Linked DNA regions of Canis lupus familiaris. The main gene of each other region encodes a partner of the protein of the gene in region 3 in a complex. Links are inferred from orthologs where the notes say so. Each region holds a gene or a part of one and is shown on either strand. Other genes may lie near its edges.

Region 1 (2,534 bases), on a different chromosome or scaffold from region 3:
AATTTTACGATCATCTTCTCTTCTTCTTTTCCGCTCCTGCAGTTGTGTTGTCCTAGGCATAAATCTCTCAACTGCCTCTGAAGAAGTAATAGCCTTTTGTGCACCAGGGAAGGCCAATGAATTTTTTAAAGGTTTCATTTGTATCTTCTGCAAAGAGTCATTGTGCATACAATGCTCCATTGTTTTAGCATGGTTTCTACTGTCCTGAGAGAAGTTGGATGCTTTACCCATATGTTCCCCTGACGAACATGTACATTTTGAGGAAAAATAACATAAAGGCAATTCACAAGAATAAGGAAGACAAGGGTCTGAGTTGCCAGCAGAAGTATTCACAGTGACTGCACGAAATCCAGATGTCCCTGAATGGAAGTTCTGTCTGAAATCTTTTGTGTCTTTAAGCTCTGTAACCCGTTTCTTCTTTGTTATGTAATGATCTTCACATTACAATTTAAAAGGTGAGATAAGAGGAAAAAGAAATGTTTTATTGTTTTCATCATTCAGAAAACTATAATTTTAAAAACAAACATTACTTTAAATGTTAACAATGGTACCCTGAATAATTTATTTCTTAAGCAGGCAATACCTTGTATTTAAAAGCTAAAAAGGATAAAGAATATATTAGTGTCAAGTGTCATTCTTTCTTTGCTCCCCATCTTCCTCGTTTCTACTTCTCCATAAGTAATCCCAATTCTTTCTTATTTATCTGTCCAGCTAGGTCTTACTTTTCCTTCTCCCACCAACTCCTCTTTTTCCATAATATCCATTTCTTTGTTCCTTTGCATTTTCCACCTAACTGTAGATCTTAGAGATCTTAGAGATTTTTTCTTGGTCATTACATAGAATGCTTCTTTCTTCACAGCTTCAGAGGAGTCTACTGTATGAATGTATCATGCTGCTTAGTTTGTGTTTAATTTTTAAAAGAGGCAGTATGCTGGACCCATATTTTGTAATTTTATTTGCCACACAACCATAAAGTTTTCCTAGAACTATTCACATATCCCATGGGTTAAAGTTCAGGGTCTACTAATGACCATGGGCTCTCAACAGTTCTCTTGCCAAATTTTCAAATAAGTCTTCCAAGAGTCTTCCCTCCTTACTTCTCTTCACCTCTGCCACAGGCCACTTCCCCAGTCATAAACTCCTCATATTCAATAACTGTGTGGATACTGACTTGGTCTTTCAACTAAAGGGTGGAAAACTGGTCATCTGAGCCTCCAGGACTATTCAGATTTCAGACCACACACATTATTTTAGTCCAATTCTGAGTGCTCTGTTCCTACAATCCTTGTACCAAATCCCATGAGACCCTATTCCAGGCACCTGGAATTTATGTCTAGTGAAACTCAGTGGGGCATATGGCGTCTCTGGCCAGCTACTGGTCAAAAGTGGGACTTTTTCACATTTAATAGTTTTAGATTGGCAGTAGGTAACTAGTCTGCAAATCATAATTGTTTCTCACTGCCTTTATGTCAAGCCTTAATTCCTCAGCATGGGACAGACACGAGGCACTTCATGATTCAGTTCCTGTCCTCTTTTCTAATCTTATTTCTAGGAGCAGCCCATGTTGTGGTTGCCCTGTACTACTTGTAGTTCCTTCATACACATGATGTCTACTTATTCCTCTGCTCTTTAAACATGCTACCTGGCTTACCTTTCCATCTCCCCTTCTGAGTAATGTCTACTTGTCCTTCAAAACTCAGCCATCTCTTTCATCCTGTAGGACTCTTGTCACAAACTAACATCTTTCCCTTTCCAGCCCAGATTACTTGAGAGTGCTGCACAGAATCCTGCAGTTTATAGTTAATGAATATTGTGATTATTTATCTCTCTTCCCACTAGACTGGGAGGCTCTATGATGATACACCTCGCAGACTGCCTGACACACAAAAGATGTTTAGTACCTGGCTTTACAAACCTTTATTTTTAGTAGTTCTTGCTATATAAGCCTTCCTCTCCTGTAATTTTTTTCTAGTTTCTTCAACTGTTTCAAATTCTGGAGCATAGCATACATGAAGCAATCCACCAAAGAAACTCTGTTCATCCATTTTTCTCTTGGCTGTCCTAAACAGAAATATGTGATAGCATGTTTTATTAATCTTGACCTACTTAGGATGAAAGCTGAAATAGTATACAATGCATTGATCCAAAAGTCCAGGTTTTGCTAGGTGTACATACATCCTATGGTTTGGGAGTTAAGATGTTCTACTTGTGTATGGTATTAACTCTACTGATCTAGTGCATACTCTTCAAGCCTTTCATCCCCTCGCTCTATACTACTAACAGATTTTGAGCTAAGTCATCCACACATAACCAGACTCCCTTTAACCAACTTAGGAGCCAATAGTTAACTTGAGGTACACAATCTGTGGTCATGAAATAGAGATTTCTCTGTGTTAAATGTCCCTTAAGAGTCAGCTCATACCCAATTTAGCCTTTTCAGCACAATGGATTCACAAATAAAAATATTGTAATAGTAAAATCTTCAATAATTGAGTAAATATTGAATATATAAGCAACGAGAAAGTTACATGATG
Region 2 (3,652 bases), on a different chromosome or scaffold from region 3:
TGTATGATTGTGTTATTAAGTATCCACCAATTCTTGTTTTATTTTTATGACTCTACCTTTTAATTTATGAATCTTTAACTTATCTGGAATTTAACTTTGTATAAGGAATAAGGTAGATTTTTTTTCTATTTTCTATTTAATTTCTGCTTTTATCTTTATTAACTCCCATCTGCTTTCCTTAGATTTATTTTCTTTTATATTCATTCTGCCTTTTTATTTTATTTTTAAATATTTTATTTATTTAATGAGCGAGCGAGAGAGCGATATCTTGAGTAGAGGGGAAGGGCAGAGGGAGAAACGGACTCCCTGCAGAGCTGGGAGCCCAACACAGGACTTGATCCCAGGAGCCTGGGATCATGAGCTGAGCTGAAGGCAAATGCTTGACTGACTGAGTCACCTATGTGCCTCCTATTCTACCTTTTTAACAGTAAAATTCTTTAAGGTTGCAGATTTTCCCGAGCGTAGTTTTAGCTGCATCTTGTAAGTTTTGGTATATATTCTCATTTGTGTTATTTTTTAAATAGTCTACCATTGATTTTTTTTTCTTTATTTCAATTTCTCTTTCATCCAGTTGTTAGGAGAATAGGCTTCAAGTTCTAGCTTGTAGGGTATTTTTTATTTAAAATATTATTTCCAGCTGTATAGCATTGTGATTGGAGAACATGTTCTGTTTTTGGAGGTGATTGAAGTTTATTCTATAGTCCATTTTAATACATGTTTCATGGATTATTGAAATGGTACTATTTTTGTAAGATTCAGATATATATATCCACTAGTTTGACATTAATATTTAACAACATAATTGTTATATTATAGTTTATATTAATGTTATAATTATATATTGATATTAATTCCTCTGACCTTATTTTTGTCAGCTTTATGTGTTATAAACTTAAAGTGGTATGCTAAAATATAACTTTTGTTATTAGTTTCTCTTGGAATTTCTAAGAGTTTCTTAAGTTAAAATTTTTGACTTGTGAACTTATGTATAAAGTTTCATGACATATTTTTGTAATATATTAGGACCTTTTTAACAATTTTTTTTTAAATTTTTATTTATTTATGATAGTCACAGAGAGAGAGAGAGAGGCAGAGACAAGGCAGAGGGAGAAGCAGGCTCCATGCACCGGGAGCCTGACGTGGGACTCGATCCCGGGTCTCCAGGATCATGCCCTGGGCCAAAGGCAGGCGCCAAACCGCTGCGCCACCCAGGGATCCTATTAGGACCTTTTTAAGTGTAAAAGAGCTCTCTTAGTCCTGCTTAAGGGGAACTATTTTTTTTTTTTGGCCTTGAATTCATCTTCGATCTTAATATTACCACTCATTTTGTAATTGGGTGTTCCTGCTCTGTCCTTGTCTAATTTTTATTTTTAACTTTATGTCATCTTTTCCTAGATGTATCTCTTGTATAGATTATATTATTTGAATTGTTTTGTCATTCAATCTGAAAGTTTTTGCATTTTAAATCAATGGTGTCTTACTCTTTTATAAAATAAATAGATATGGGGAGATTGTTAACATTAATCTGGTGCGGGACAAGAAGACTGGGAAATCCAAAGGATTCTGTTTCCTTTGCTATGAAGACCAGAGGAGCACAATTTTGGCTGTTGACAATTTTAATGGAATCAAGGTGAGTGTGTTCACTAAGCAGGATCTGGCTGGACTTTTCCTGTATGTAAGAGTTCGATTTAATTTCCCACCTGATTGCCCCAAGTTCAAGGACAGTACTGGTCACCTGGATGTGTTGAGGGTTGTAGAGGTGTGGGGACATACTGACCAGGAAATGATCCCAGGAAATAATTTCATTGGCTTATGACCCTGCTGACACTTGTTCCTTTTCCTCATGTTCATCTTCCCAGGAACATAGGTATCATGTCCCTCACCCCCAACCAAGCCCCTGGTTTCTCACCTTTCCATTCTCACACCCTACTCTCATCTCTGATGTATTGGGCAGTAAAAAGACTAGCAAATACTGCTCTTCCATGCTATGCTGTGTCAGAGGATTTGGCGCTCTCTTATGGCTTCATCCTCTAAGACATAGCTCTGTGTGTCTGTCCTATGTCTCCACTGACTTAGCATTACTGGGCCTTGGAAATTCTCTAGATGAAGTCTGATGACAAATTCTACAAAAGTAACTCATTCTGAAGTTTTCCCTTGTCTGTTCCCTCTCAGAACACTCTTGGCCAGAGAAGGTGGTAGACAAGTCTGGCTTGTCTATGCTCTCCCTGGTTCCTCTGCTTATTTAGGAAAAGCACTGCAGTTAGATAAGCATTTTTTATAGGTTTGGGGGTGACTTTGGACTTGGAGAATTTGTCACTGATTGCAGCAGTATGGAACAGCTGAAAATCTCCATGAAAGGGGGATTTTCTAAAATGTTTTCAAAAGGGGAATAGGAAAGATGACCTTTAAGTTCAGGCTTAAAGGTAAGAATGAAACTCTGTTCTTGTATAGGAACAATAAAAGCCAGACATAAGCTTTTGGATGATTTTTTCCTATAGAATAGGTCTGTATCTGCCTGACTATTTTTAAGTGAGGGGCTAATTTTTTGTTGTTCACCCAGAGAGTTGTGATCCACAGCAAAAATAAGTGTGAGACAGTTGTTCCAGTATGGTGGGGGTAGAGCAAGGCGTGAGGGCTTAGGAAAACAAATTCCTTCCCCTTTCCCAAATATTGGTCTGCCTTGACCTCATCCTAATTGCTGTATCAAGAAAACAGCTGTAGTGCTGCACTCGCTTCAGGAGTTCTTTCTAACTGCCAGGCCATGGTATGTTTTACTGCAAATTAATGTGATTGAGGGTAATTCATTGTTTATGCATGTAAATTCTTAGTTTTCCCTGCTGCTTGTGCTTTGGGGCAGTACTGCTGAGCATTTTTTCATTTAATTGCATATGTAGAACCTGAAGGTTATTGTGTGGCACCCTGGGGTAAACTGAGGAGGCTGCCTGGTAGAGTTGCCTCAGGGACTCCAGCTGCCTACCTGATTGCCCCAGGGAGGGGCTGGGCAGATTATTATCTAGGTATATGTGCTGTGACATACCAGTTGGGCAGGTCTGGCTTAGATATTTCCCCAGAAATAGAATTAGCAGGAAGGTAAAGGGTGTAGTTTGAACCATGGCTTTCTAGGGTGTGGTTTGAACCATGGCTTTCTGCAGCTGGGTTCAAATAGTTCAGAAGTAGGGCCCTCTCTGCTGAAGCATTGCCTGTCTGTCTTAGATCAAAGGAAGAACTATCCGAGTGGATCATGTGTCTAACTATCGGGCTCCTAAGGACTCAGAAGAAATGGATGATGTGACCAAAGAGCTCCAAGAGAAGGGCTGTGGGGCTCACACCCCCTCCGTGAGTTCATCCGAGGGTTCCGAAGATGACAAACCCCCAAAAAAATACAAAAAAGGTAAAGCACTAAGACCTGAGAGAAGATTCTGGGTAGTCTTAGTGTTTGCTCCTCCTAGTATTCACTGAGAATTGGTAATCAGTTATTAGGTGTGAAAAGGAAGGGTGTGGGGAACCGTATAGTAATTGGGAAAGGAGAGGTATCAGTGGAAGACTAATATCATGGGCTGAATTCTGTTTCCCAGTTCATATGTTGGAGTCCTAATCCCTCGAGACCTTAGAATGTGACTGTATTTGGAGGTCGGGTCTTTAGAAAGGTAAT
Region 3 (4,402 bases):
CAAAGAATTTCTATCTTCTACATATGTGGCAGGCACATCTATAGTTTACTTATCAGGTTTTTTTTTTTTTTTTTTCCAGTTTGCTAGGGTAGTAAAGACATGTTTGAGTAGTTATAGTCCTACCACTACAGGAATTTTCTCAGCTTAGTCAGAGGAGACCCCCTTTTACTAAATACAAAATAAGACAAACCGACCTTAAACGAATACCAAAACGAATACCAAAGTCTTTAACTTACTAGCAAAGGAACAACAAAGGTGTTAAAACAATAAGCCAGTTTAGAGAGTATGGAGGGAAACAATGCTTATACTCGTAGCTAATTAAATAAAGACCCTAATAGTTGTGACCCAGGAAACCAGAGGCAGGAAGCTCTGAGACGCCAGGGGTGCCCACAGTCCATCTCAGAAACAGAAAACAATGCATCTAAGAAGCCAGTGCTGGGCATGCCCCCCGGTGGCGCAGCGGTTTGGCGCCGCCTTCGGCCGAGGGCGTGATCCTGGAGACCCGGATCGAGTCCCACGTCGGGCCCCCTGCAGGGAGCTCTGCCTGCTTCTCCCTCTGCCTCTCTCTCTCTCCTCTCTCTGTCTCTCATGAATAAATAACTAAAAATCTTTAAAAAAAGAGAGAGAGCGAGCGAGCGAGCGGGAGGGCAGGCGCCGGTGAGGGCCGAGGGAGAAGCAGGCCCTCTGCAGAGCGGGCTGCCTGCGGGGGGGCTCCCTCCAGGACCCGGCATCACCAGGGCATCACCAGGGCAGCGGAGGGCAGACGCTCGACCACGGAGCCACCCAGGTGCTCCTCTGCTTATTTTTGTTTTTGTTTGTTTGTTTGTTTTTGTTTTTTTCCTCTGCTTATTTTTGAATAAGCACCGCCAGTGAATTTCTCAAGCTGTTAACAAAATGCAGAACACAGTTTACACATTCCTGAGATCGGAGGTTTTTTTTTTTTATTTTTTTATGATAGTCAGAGAGAGAGAGAGAGAGAGAGAGAGGCAGAGACACAGGCAGAGGGAGAAGCAGGCTCCATGCACCGGGAGCCCGACGTGGGATTCGATCCCGGGTCTCCAGGATCGCGCCCCGGGCCAAAGGCAGGCGCCAAACCGCTGCGCCACCCAGGGATCCCAGATTGGAGGTTTTTAAAGCTGTTTCTTGCTGCTTGGAGGTCCTCGCTTGTGTCTAACGTGTATTCGTTCTTGCCACAGGTACTGGCACGAGCAAACGTCACTCCTAATCAGCATGGGCTAATTTTCATCAGCAGGGACCTAGCCTTTCAATTTGAAATAGAACCTCCCCAAACCACACACAAATCTTGCATTATTTTTGGCCCCATACTTTATTTATTATCTACCTTGCCTCCCCCTCCTTCAGTAAGGGATTTTTGTCTGATAATTTGCCACATCCCCAGCAACTAAAACTGCTTAGCACACAGCATTTGTTGAATGAATGCGTGAGCGAGGTATCCACAGACTGACCATCAGAGGGCGACAGAAAGACTTGGTGGAAACGGAAACGAAACGTCTCACCCGTTCGGCGGTTCCGCGAGGTTTGACTTCGCTCGGCCGCCGTAGTGCACAGGCCGGAAACGACTGGCCGGAAACGACTAGTCGTTTCCGGCTTCTGCGGTCCGAGAAGACGGTTTGGGGCTGTGGGAAACCGAGACCCAAGGGTCAAAGGCAGGTCCTTTGCGGAGCTGGGACTCCAGTCCAGGGCTCCAGGCCTGCAGGCCTCCGACGAGCCCAGCCGCCAGCGTGTTTACTCGACATAGTTCAGGGCCAGGAACCGGGCAGCGTGGGTCACCATGGCGACGCCGGCTGGGCTGGAGCGCTGGGTGCAGGACGAGCTGCACTCGGTGCTGGGGCTGAGCGAGCGGCACGTAGCCCAGTTTTTGATCGGTACCGCGCAGCGATGCGCCTCGGCCGAGGACTTCGTACAGCGCCTGCGAGACACCGATACTCTGGACCTCAGCGGACCGGCTCGCGACTTCGCCTTGAGACTCTGGACCAAGGTGTCTGCAGGGGCGGGGCGGGGCCCGGCGTGGGCGCGGCGGGAGAGCAGGTGGAGCGGGGGCGGGGCCCCAGGTTGTCTATCCAGGTGAGGCTAGGCTAACTGTCCTTGGGGGAATTAAGTAAGCTCGGTTACACCAGCACCTAGCTTTTATCCGTTGTCGCCTGGGTACTGTACTAGGTGCTGGACGTGCAGCTCTGGGGAGAAGTTCAAGGACCGTTAGGTGCTGTAGAGCAGTGTTTCACGAACTTTAATAGGCCCTTGTTTTAATGTGGATCCAGATTCGATAGGTTTGGGGTGGGATCTTAGTTTTTGCATTTCTAGCTAGTTTTCAGGTGAAGCTGATGGTCCACGGACAGCATTTTGAGTAGCAAGGCTATAGAAGAAATGTGTGAGAAGTGCTGTGGTAGGGCACAAAAGGTAAGGGTAGTGATCAGGGGAAAGCAGGCCCAAAGATTCCCCGGAATCTGTCTGATAGATAGAGAAGGGGGAAGGAGTAAAGGTGTAAAAGTGAATTCCTGGAGGACAGGACTGTGTATTGCTTGTCTTTGTATTTCTTCCACCTGACAACACCTTACAGAACAGGTGCTTAGTAAGTATATCGAAGAGTGAAAGTGTTCAACGTGTTCCTAGAATGGCAGGTAGCCTGCTTGAGTTGTCACATATGGTTCCTGGTGAAAGATGAATTTAGAATCTAAGTGATATGAGGATAGGGACTTTATGTAAATCCGTGTAGCATGTATCCCTGGAATCTGGTACGGTGCCAAACATATGACAGGCCTCTGTAAACCAATCCTTGTAGCATGTCAGTCCTTGCATCGTGATGACTTAATTGTGGGGAAGAACAGAGTCTGAGCAATTGAGAATTGGTTTTGAGAATGTAGGGACTTGCCTTTGTCCCAGGGCGTGATCCTGAAGTCCCAGGATCGAGTCCCACATCAGGCTCCCTGCATGGGACACCTTAAAAAAAAAGAAAAAAAAAAAAGAATGTAAGATAAACTCCATGAGGGCAGGAATTTTTATTTATTTATTTTTAAGGATTTTATTTATTTATTAATGAGAGACACAGAGAGAGGCAGAGGGAGAAGCAAGCACCATGCAGGGAGCTCAATGTGGGACTCAGTCCCAGGACTCCAGGATCACGCCCTGGGCGGAATGCAGACCCTCAACCGCTGAGCCACCCAGGCAGGAATTTTTGTCTTGTATTTATTCCTGTGTCCTTGATCCCTAGCAAGTACCTGGTGCATCAGACAGGCTTCAATAAATGTTTGTTAAATGAATGACTGCAAGGAGGTTCAGAAGCTGAAAGGCCCAGTTCAGGCTGATGAACATGGTGTGAAGCCATGAGGAAAAGAGACAATGAAGGTTAGTTTAAGATCAGGCCATTCCAGGCAGCCCGGGTGGCTCAGCAGTTTAGTGCCTCCTTCGGCCCAGGGCATGATCCTGGAGACCCAGGATCGAGTCCCACGTTGGGCTCCCTGCATGGAGCCTGCGTCTCCCCCTGCCTGTTTGTCTGCCTCTCTCTCTGTGTCTCTCGTGAATAAAAAAATAAAATCTTAAAAAAAAAAAATCACGCCATTCTTTAAATTTCAGAATGGGGCAAAGTAGATGGGTAAAAATCAGGAGTTGCTCACATCCCATTATCTTCCCTTCTACTGATAGGTACCACGGAAGGCGGTGGTAGAAAAGCCAGCTCGGGCGGCCGAGCGAGAGGCCCAAGCCCTGCTGGAAAAGAACCGATCCTATAAGTTGCTGGAAGACAGTGAGGAGAGTAGTGAGGAGACCGTAGGTAGAACTGGGAGCAGTCTCCAGAAGAAGCGTAGAAAACGGAAACACCTCAGGAAGAAATGTCAGGAGGAGGAAGAAGAGGAGGAAGAGATTTCCGAGAAAGGGAGAAGAAAGACAGGGTAAGTTAGAAGCAGAGTGAGAGAGGGTGAGGCAGGGGATAAGGGGGCAGTAAGCTTCCTAGGAGACCTTATGTAATCCTTTGGACTGGTTTGCAGGGGGAGTCAACAGACTGAGAAGCCGGAATCTGAGGATGAGTGGGAGCGGACCGAGCGAGAGCGCCTTCAGGACCTGGAGGAACGTGATGCCTTTGCTGAGCGGGTTCGGCAGCGAGACAAGGATCGGACTCGCAATGTCCTGGAGCGGTCAGACAAGAAGGTGCATAGGAGCAGCATGTTCTGTAAATCCCCAAGAAGATCCCTGGGTCAGATCTGAGGTTGGGTGTGATTGCAGAGATAGGGCTCTCTGGGAAGACCAGGGTGGCCTCTGGAGGTGTTCATCTCTGTAGTAAGAGGACCCAGAAGGGTCTGCTGATCCTCTGCTCAACCTGTAGGCCTAGAGATTCCCCCCTGAGAAGGGACATTTCTGTATGCTATAGTATATCCAAATGATCCTTGTG

What was found. The genes of interacting proteins can lie anywhere in the genome.
Region 1: DHX16 (region 3) and RBM48 share a complex: the UniProt entries of both Homo sapiens proteins name them as parts of the minor spliceosome. The link is inferred for Canis lupus familiaris from reciprocal best matches to the Homo sapiens genes DHX16 and RBM48.
Region 2: DHX16 (region 3) and RBMX2 share a complex: the UniProt entries of both Homo sapiens proteins name them as parts of the minor spliceosome. The link is inferred for Canis lupus familiaris from reciprocal best matches to the Homo sapiens genes DHX16 and RBMX2.

What each region holds. Positions count from the first base shown.
Region 1 is NC_049235.1:18,072,479-18,075,012, reverse strand, and holds part of RBM48 (RNA-binding protein 48), read right to left. Parts: intron 2,062-2,534; coding exon 1,916-2,061; intron 435-1,915; coding exon 1-434. UniProt on the Homo sapiens protein: As a component of the minor spliceosome, involved in the splicing of U12-type introns in pre-mRNAs.
Region 2 is NC_049260.1:102,438,367-102,442,018, forward strand, and holds part of RBMX2 (RNA-binding motif protein, X-linked 2), read left to right. Parts: intron 1-1,500; coding exon 1,501-1,630; intron 1,631-3,213; coding exon 3,214-3,391; intron 3,392-3,652. UniProt on the Homo sapiens protein: Involved in pre-mRNA splicing as component of the activated spliceosome. As a component of the minor spliceosome, involved in the splicing of U12-type introns in pre-mRNAs.
Region 3 is NC_049233.1:613,801-618,202, reverse strand, and holds the start of DHX16 (pre-mRNA-splicing factor ATP-dependent RNA helicase DHX16), read left to right. Parts: upstream 1-1,581; 5' UTR 1,582-1,792; coding exon 1,793-1,999; intron 2,000-3,660; coding exon 3,661-3,905; intron 3,906-4,001; coding exon 4,002-4,161; intron 4,162-4,402. UniProt on the Homo sapiens protein: Required for pre-mRNA splicing as a component of the spliceosome. Contributes to pre-mRNA splicing after spliceosome formation and prior to the first transesterification reaction.